Linked DNA regions of Nothobranchius furzeri. The protein of the gene in region 1 binds, or shares a complex with, the protein of each later gene. Links are inferred from orthologs where the notes say so. Each region holds a gene or a part of one and is shown in the gene's direction. Other genes may lie near its edges.

The links.
Region 2: yeats2 (region 1) and mbip share a complex: the UniProt entries of both Homo sapiens proteins name them as parts of the ADA2A-containing complex. The link is inferred for Nothobranchius furzeri from reciprocal best matches to the Homo sapiens genes YEATS2 and MBIP.

Annotation. Positions count from the first base shown.
Region 1 is NC_091751.1:55,945,796-55,949,447, forward strand, and holds part of yeats2 (YEATS domain-containing protein 2), read left to right. Parts: intron 1-667; coding exon 668-1,040; intron 1,041-1,129; coding exon 1,130-1,264; intron 1,265-1,583; coding exon 1,584-1,703; intron 1,704-2,722; coding exon 2,723-2,864; intron 2,865-2,942; coding exon 2,943-3,019; intron 3,020-3,097; coding exon 3,098-3,177; intron 3,178-3,619; coding exon 3,620-3,652. UniProt on the Homo sapiens protein: Chromatin reader component of the ATAC complex, a complex with histone acetyltransferase activity on histones H3 and H4. YEATS2 specifically recognizes and binds histone H3 crotonylated at 'Lys-27' (H3K27cr).
Region 2 is NC_091758.1:21,137,041-21,140,792, reverse strand, and holds the start of mbip (MAP3K12-binding inhibitory protein 1), read left to right. Parts: upstream 1-1,316; 5' UTR 1,317-1,355; coding exon 1,356-1,475; intron 1,476-2,262; coding exon 2,263-2,379; intron 2,380-2,545; coding exon 2,546-2,725; intron 2,726-3,287; coding exon 3,288-3,384; intron 3,385-3,740; coding exon 3,741-3,752. UniProt on the Homo sapiens protein: Inhibits the MAP3K12 activity to induce the activation of the JNK/SAPK pathway. Component of the ATAC complex, a complex with histone acetyltransferase activity on histones H3 and H4.

The DNA of each region.
Region 1 (3,652 bases):
TGTAGCTCATGCCCACCAGCGTGTGAATGTGTGAATGACTGATTGTGTTGCGAAGCACCTTGGAGGTTGTAGAAGTGTGTGTGTGTGTGTTGTCAAATTACTGGTCCTAGTTATTTTTCATTCTTATCTCAAGTGTGGCTTAATCTAATCAATTCACACTTTTGGACCAGAATATTGCTTATAAGTTACAACAAAGCCAGGTCACCATAAACCTTTCATTTCAATGCCTCCTTTATTGTCCTCAAACGAGTGTAGGTCGTGTTGATGTTCACTCTAGTTGTTGCTCTTTGCTCTGCCTCCAAAGCCATCATTCTCTTACTTTAATTTCCAGGCTCCGCCATGATGCCAACAAAAAAGTAAACTATTTCATCTTGCACTATTTATTGACGGCCGGTGAAACTGAAATGGCTAACAGCTAGCCTTTATATGAGCTACCAGCACAGTAGACGTTTATTGTCGTAAAGCAGGTAGTACCCCTACCGGAACCACAAAATATTTAAGAGCAGTTTCTGGTCAGCAGAGGGCTGCAGAGTGCTGTCAAAATTTTATTTATTTAAAACATAAACTATGTCAGGATTTTTTTTTTTCTGCTTTATACATGCATGAGAGGTGCAGTATTTCTGCACATTTTTTTGGTTGACAGATGTGTTTCTGTATCTTTATCCAGGCTGCTGATGGCGGGAAGTCTGCCTCCCAGCAACAGCAACTGCTGGTGTCAGCCAGCCAGGCGGCAGTAATCAGCGCAGCTAAGAACGCCGGCACAGCCAGCGGCGGCAGTCTGTCCAAGGCAGCTGTGGCCTCTTTGGTCAAAGGAGCTGGAAGCTCCGCCTCCCCAAGTAAGAGTGCAGGAAGTTCAGCCGTTGCCGCAGTGATGGTGGCAAAAGGTGTCACAAATTTGCCCGTCATGAGCACGTCCAAAGGAGCTGGAGCTGGGACTGTGGTGGGGGTGTCCAAAAGCAGCAACACTCCATTAGTTTCTGCGGCGTCGTTAGTCAGCGGAGTGGCAGCTGGAGCAGGAAAAACAAGTGCTGCACTGTCAGGTGTGGAGGAACACACCACAACCTACAATCATATGTTTATGCACAACACATGGGTGTGCAAATGATCTCACCTTGTGGTTTTTGGCCAGGTATGCTGAAGATCCAGTCTGCTGGTTCCAGCTCCCAGCAGACCGTTTTAACCATCCCTGCCACCCAGCTGAAGCAGCTAGGGGTTGGAACTGGGTCTGCTGGACTGCAATCCATATTCATGCCTGTCAGTAAAGGTAAGCCCACTCCATGAACACAGAATAATCTCGCTAGTGTTGAAGTTAAACAGAATCCCAAAACTGATCCTGGATTACTTCTTTAGTTGTTCTGAACTTGATGTAATTTTAAAATAAATCTGAGATGCGCTCCATCATCTGGAAATATCTTATTGTTACCAATATCCTCTCATCTCATTTTTTGTCTTACTGTTTACCTAGCAGGACATTGACCCTTCTGTGTGTGTGTGTGTGTGTGTGTGTGTGTGTGCGTGCGTGCGTGCGTGTGTGCGTGCGTGCGTCCGTCCGTCCGTCTGTCTGTCTGTCTGTCTGTCTAAAGGCCCAGTCTCCAATACTCCTCCCTCCTTCTCCTCTTCATCCACTCCTCCTGGAGCAGCTGGAGCCTCCTCAGGTCTTTCCAGCCAGGTCTCCTCCTCCCTTATCCCGCCTTTAGCACAAGGTGAGAGGGGTCCATTGTCACTCCACCCTCTCCTCTCTTTCTTCCTAACTCCATTTTTATGTTTGAGCTGTCAGAATCAAACATTGGCCACTGAAGACGAAGCAAATAGTTTGATAGTTGTGTTTAAAGCTGATGAACATAATCCAAACCATTAGAGTCTTATTAATGGGACATTTAGCTACTTTTTCAATCATTTTCTTGAGCCACTATGTGCTAAAATGACCCTTTACATGGTTAATGAAATGACACCCAGCCCCCATCGCCACCTGTGACCAGAGTATTCCACTTGCAACTTCAGACTGGCGGGCAGCTCTGTTGGGACTTAGACAAAAGGAGTTGACATACCTGGTGCTGCAGTCTGGTTCCAGCACATTTCCTGGATGTTTTAGATTATGAACACATCTGATTTGTGTAATTTAGTGATGAATAATAATAATAATAATAATAATGCATTGAACTTATATAGCGCTTTTCTAGACCCCCAAAGACGCTTTCACACACTCACATTCACACACTGCTAGTGATGATAAGCTACTTGTAGCCACAGCCGCCCTGGGGAGGTTTGACAGAGGCGAGGCTGCCATTTGGCGCCGTCGGCCCCTCTGACCACCACTAACACAGGCAAGTTGGGTGAAGTGTCTTGCCCAAGGACACAACAGCAGGATACCCCTGGTGGGAGCTGGAATCGAACCCATGACCCTCCGATCATGAGGCAACGCGCTCTACCACCTGAGCTACTGCTGCCCCAAATGAATGAATGACTCCTGTAGATACTAAGGAAGGCTGGGGGGAAAGCGAGGAGATAAGTTTTGCTTTCAGTTCTATAAATGGACTCTAGGGGGTGCCAAAAGCAAGCCAAGACTGCCTAGTTCCCTTTAAAATATAAATTACATGTGTTGATTTGTGATGAAATAGTTCAGAGTAATAATCTTTTATACAAGTCTAAATATGTTTGTGATTCCTAATAACATTTATCTCCCCCACATATACACATCTGCTGTCGCTCTCCGCTGCCACAGTGAAAACAGAACCAGGTGCCGTCGCAGCTGGTCCGTCGCCCCTGGCGACGGCTGCTGCTCCAGCCCCTGTCCATGTTGCTTCTGCAGCCACCACCGTCAAACAGGAACAAGGCACAGATAACTCAGCACACTGCCTCATTAAGTAAGAGCAACGCCGCTGTCTCTTTAAACACAAATGCAGATGATGTTCTGATGTTAATCCAAAGCTCTTTCCTCTCAGCACTGAGCACATCGAAACCATGATGCAGCTGCTGACGGCTGTGGTGAAGAAGTTTCCTCTAATTGTGCCAGAAAAAAGTAAATACAATTAGATTTCATATTTATAAACCGACTGAAGACACTCTTTAAATGTAACGCTGCTTTATTTTTACATAGCTGAAGACTCCCATCCCTTTTGTGCCTCCTCAGTAGAACAGTATTATTCTTGGAACATTGGCAAACGCAGAGCGTCAGAGGTAACCTTTTGATTTTGTTTTGATGAAATCTTATGTCCACCTCTCACCGTTATCTTCAGTTTTACTCGTCTTCATGCTGTACTAGCCTCGTGTTTCATCAACATAGTAAATGATTCATTGCTGTTCTTGTGGAGAAGAGAAGTATGACCGTGTTTTTACTCACTTTGATGGAGTACACGACGTGATGATTCGCCGCGGCTGCAGTTTTGCATTTTAATCCGTCTTCCAGCTGCATCTCTTCTCTCTCTAGTTGGATGTGTGTTTCTGCCACATCATCTCTTTGACTAATACTGTATTCTGAGCCGTATGTGGGATACCGTGAATATTAATGCTTATTCATGCATGTTGCTAAATAGTTTAAGCAGCGAGGGTCTACAATGCTTAAACTTTGTGATCGGACTCTTCCGAGTTAAAATGAGCTGATCTTTGGCCGTCTCTGTAGCTTCAGAGAGCGGTGGCGGTGAAGCGTCTGGTT
Region 2 (3,752 bases), on another chromosome or scaffold:
AACAAGATAGTGAAAGATCAAGTCAGACCCTTAGCTAATGAGCATCTGCAATTTGGCTTCAAAAGTTAAATTCAACCAAAATGCTCTAAGTATTTTCCAAGAAGTACCTTAAATCACATATACAGCTCATTAAAAGGGTAAAAAAAATTACAGCTCTTGGGTCTGCAGCCAGGCAAATTAAATGAGCAGTGTATTTAATTTCAGAGCTCCTCGCTGTGTGGGAACATTTAGCAACTGCTCAGCATGTCAAACCATGTCAAGTGTTACAGTTCTCTTCCTGTTTCACGGGAAAAAATATCACCCTACAAATGAATTAAGCTAAAAAGGCTTATCTTCAGAGCCCTTCCTAAAATGATTAACCTTTCTAAAGAGCATTATTGAGTTCTGAGTGCATGGTTGTGCCGTCTCTTTGCCTGTAATTGTTCTTTTTCTGTTGTTTCCTTCATCAGTCTCTCTCTTCATTATATGAAAAGAAGTGAAAAATGTCTGAATAGAGAAGGGAGATTTTCCCACAGTCACTCAACTCAGAGAAATACACCATTGTGGGCAGGTTCCCATCCCAATGCCCTGCTGCTTGGTCCTCTGCAGTAAGAAGCACAGTGTGCTTATAATAAGGAGCCATTCTTTGTGCTGTTTGAGAAGCAGGTGAATGAAAACGTAGGCAAATGTGGCTTGGACATGTCAGTCAGTATTGTAAAAATGTAGACAAGTCCATTTAAACCAAGATTTAAAAAAGAGTTTAAGTCATAAAGCACCTCAAAAATCAGCACAATAAAAACATTAGTAGTTTTTTAAGAATAAAACTTATTTTATATGCTTTATACAAATAAGACATGACCTTATGAGCATCCTCTGAGAAAAGGCAAACAAATATACTGAACCTAAATAATATGTCCATTTCAAAAGTTAAAACATTTTCTGTTTATTTTTCTCTGCTGTTTTTTAAACTATTGTTTACTTTTTTGTTATACTGAAACATATTTCACAATTTTAAGCATCTGTACTAGTTTATTAAATAGTTTAAATTAGTAAAAGTTGACTTTTGCTTTCTGAATGAGCCTTCTAGAAATTAAATCTCCACAAACAAAAACAAAAGCATCTTTCTACCTATGATGAGCCCTCTTTAGGATCAAACAAAAAAAACTATACAGGTTTTTTAATGTTTCAGAATCTATTTAAAGATCAAAATTCTGAGCAAAACACAGTAAATCATTTATTTTTGTGCTTTGAATTTACTTTCATGCGCTACTGTTAATGCGCATGCGTCATTTTAGCCTGCAGTTCCACCAACCACGTGATTAAAATCACCGTCTCGCAACCAATGAGCACGCAGTATTCCATGAGTTTGAGTAGCAATGGCGGAGACAACGAAGCTAAGTGAGAGCAAAGCTCCTCCCAGCGAACCAGCTAAAATGTCCAGTTACAAACACTGCATGGACGCAATACTGGGGCTGCTTTCAGACTTTGGGAAAGAGGTTGGTGTGAAATGATTCAGCTGCTTCGCTCCGAATAGTCATTCCAGTCTGAGTAGTTTCCTAGCGGTGTGCTAATGTTTTTAGCAACTAGCCTCGTCGGTTCATGTTCATTCACTGTCCGTTAATCAAGTTTTTGCCGTAGGAAAGCGTCAGCTCGATGGTTTATATCTAAATTAACAGATTCAGTTTTAATATTTGTATTTCTGTGCAATAAAAACATGTCCAGACTTTTGTGTCACACGTCAGTTTAGGTTCAAATCACGCTTATTTTCATTTACCCTCTTTTTCCATATAGTAAACGTTCACGGTTTTTGGCATTTTTACGCAGTATTATGTAATTTTTGGTCCTGCAGGTAAACGTTTATTGATGCCACTGTCCACAACGCATTTCTACCTTAGAAAATATATTTAACCTTGCTCTATTTCCCCCCGTGTTTACGTCTAAATTATTAAAATTGCTGGATGCTTTAGCTCTTTTCATACCCAGGGCTTCTAAAGGGACATTAAATATATGTATTCAGTCTTATATACACTGTTTTTTTTTGCTAAATAATGGTTTAGTTTTTCTAGCACAGCAGAAAGGTTCAGTGTAAAACAATAAGATTATTTAATTTGACCGTTTATAGAAGCAAATTATGAAAAATTGCTTCTTTTTTAATTACCAAATTGTTGGTTAAATTACTTAAATTATTTAGCATTTTCTGCCTCTACTATTTTGAACTATATATTTTTTATTTAGCTGTGGTGATGTGTACTTGATGAAACTCTTGTTTATTTTCTCTCAAAGCTGAAATTAGGGGATGCTGCTTTGAGAATAGAGGTCAACCCTGGAGCTGTAGTACTTTCGTCATCTTCAGAAGCAGGTGTTTATGGCTGTGTACAGCAGCACATTGCTAAGTTGCAGGTAAGACATTCACCCGTTGGTTAATTTATGTTACATATGACTGCAATATCTAATAAGTGCCACATTTACAGTATAATTGATGGTCACTAGTGTTGTAATTAAAGAAATAATAACACTAATTTATAATGTGTTTGTAGCAGTCAGTGTTCTTTCTGTTTGGCTGTAGGCTGTTTCAGAAAGCCTGAGGTCACTGGTGGAAGCTGATGTTACATCTGTGAAGGAAGACACGGCGGATAACATTGTCACGTCACTATCATCCGAGCACCGGCGTCACAGCTCAGAGGCTGCAGACTGCGGGTCTTCGGGCGATGACGTCATGGTTCAGATCCGAGCCGGGAAGTCAGAGGTTGGTCATTGTCAACAGATCTGTCAGCTGTTCTGGCACTGATATTTTAGAGCCCTTCACACTCTGTCAAGCAAATGAATAATCATAAGTAATTGGTTCCAAGGATGTGCACATGATGTGCAGCAAATGCTTGATGGAGTTCTGATACTGGGTTTGACAGAGAATAAAGGGTTCTGTAGTGCTGTGGTGGGGTAGAATGGACCACATTGCTGGAGGGGTTTGAGAGAGGGCCAGGTCCTTGATGGATTATGAAGTGGATGCTCATTACTCTGAGATTGCATGTGGATGAAGGACAAGAGGCCCCATTCTGTTGTGCATTTATTTTGGTAGCCAGGCAAACCGTATTCTTATTCCATCACATGATGACGATAATCTATTCAACTGTTTGGGCTATCTGGAATAATTTCTCTCACTGTGTTTGATATTTTTTGAAACCATAAATCGCTGAACTTTGTTTACTCTAAATCAGTAAAAATAAGTCGACAAAACATTGAATTCTTCACAGCTATCAGTGGCTCATCAACCCGTTGTGTCTTATTATCTGTCTTCTCTGTAACTCCAGATCGAGCGAAGAATATCTGCATTTATGGAATGCAAGCAGATGGAGATCAATGAAAACAATGTGCGCGAGTTTTGCAACGTGATCGACTGCAATCAGGGTGAGAACGGAGGAGAGATTGGGGGGCAGGGTGGAGAGGGAGGCTGCACACAGATTGCCAATGTTTGGGAGAGAGCTGATTTCCACAGGCGAGAGGTCAGGCTGAACTGCTCCAAGAGTGGGCCTGAAGTAGCTAACACACTCGGCCTTGAAACGCAACCTGCTCTGGCCAGAAAAACACCAGACACACAGGCTGTTTGAAATTCAAAGCTTGTGTGTGACGCCAGTAATGGAAATCAGACGAAGTTGCAGTTCAAGTGTGGTGTATTCATTTCTAATGTTTTTTTTTATGACTATTTTCTTCTTACATTTAGAAAGTCTAATTACACTTTTGTTTTGGATTTGATTCCTTTGTAGAAAACAGCTGTG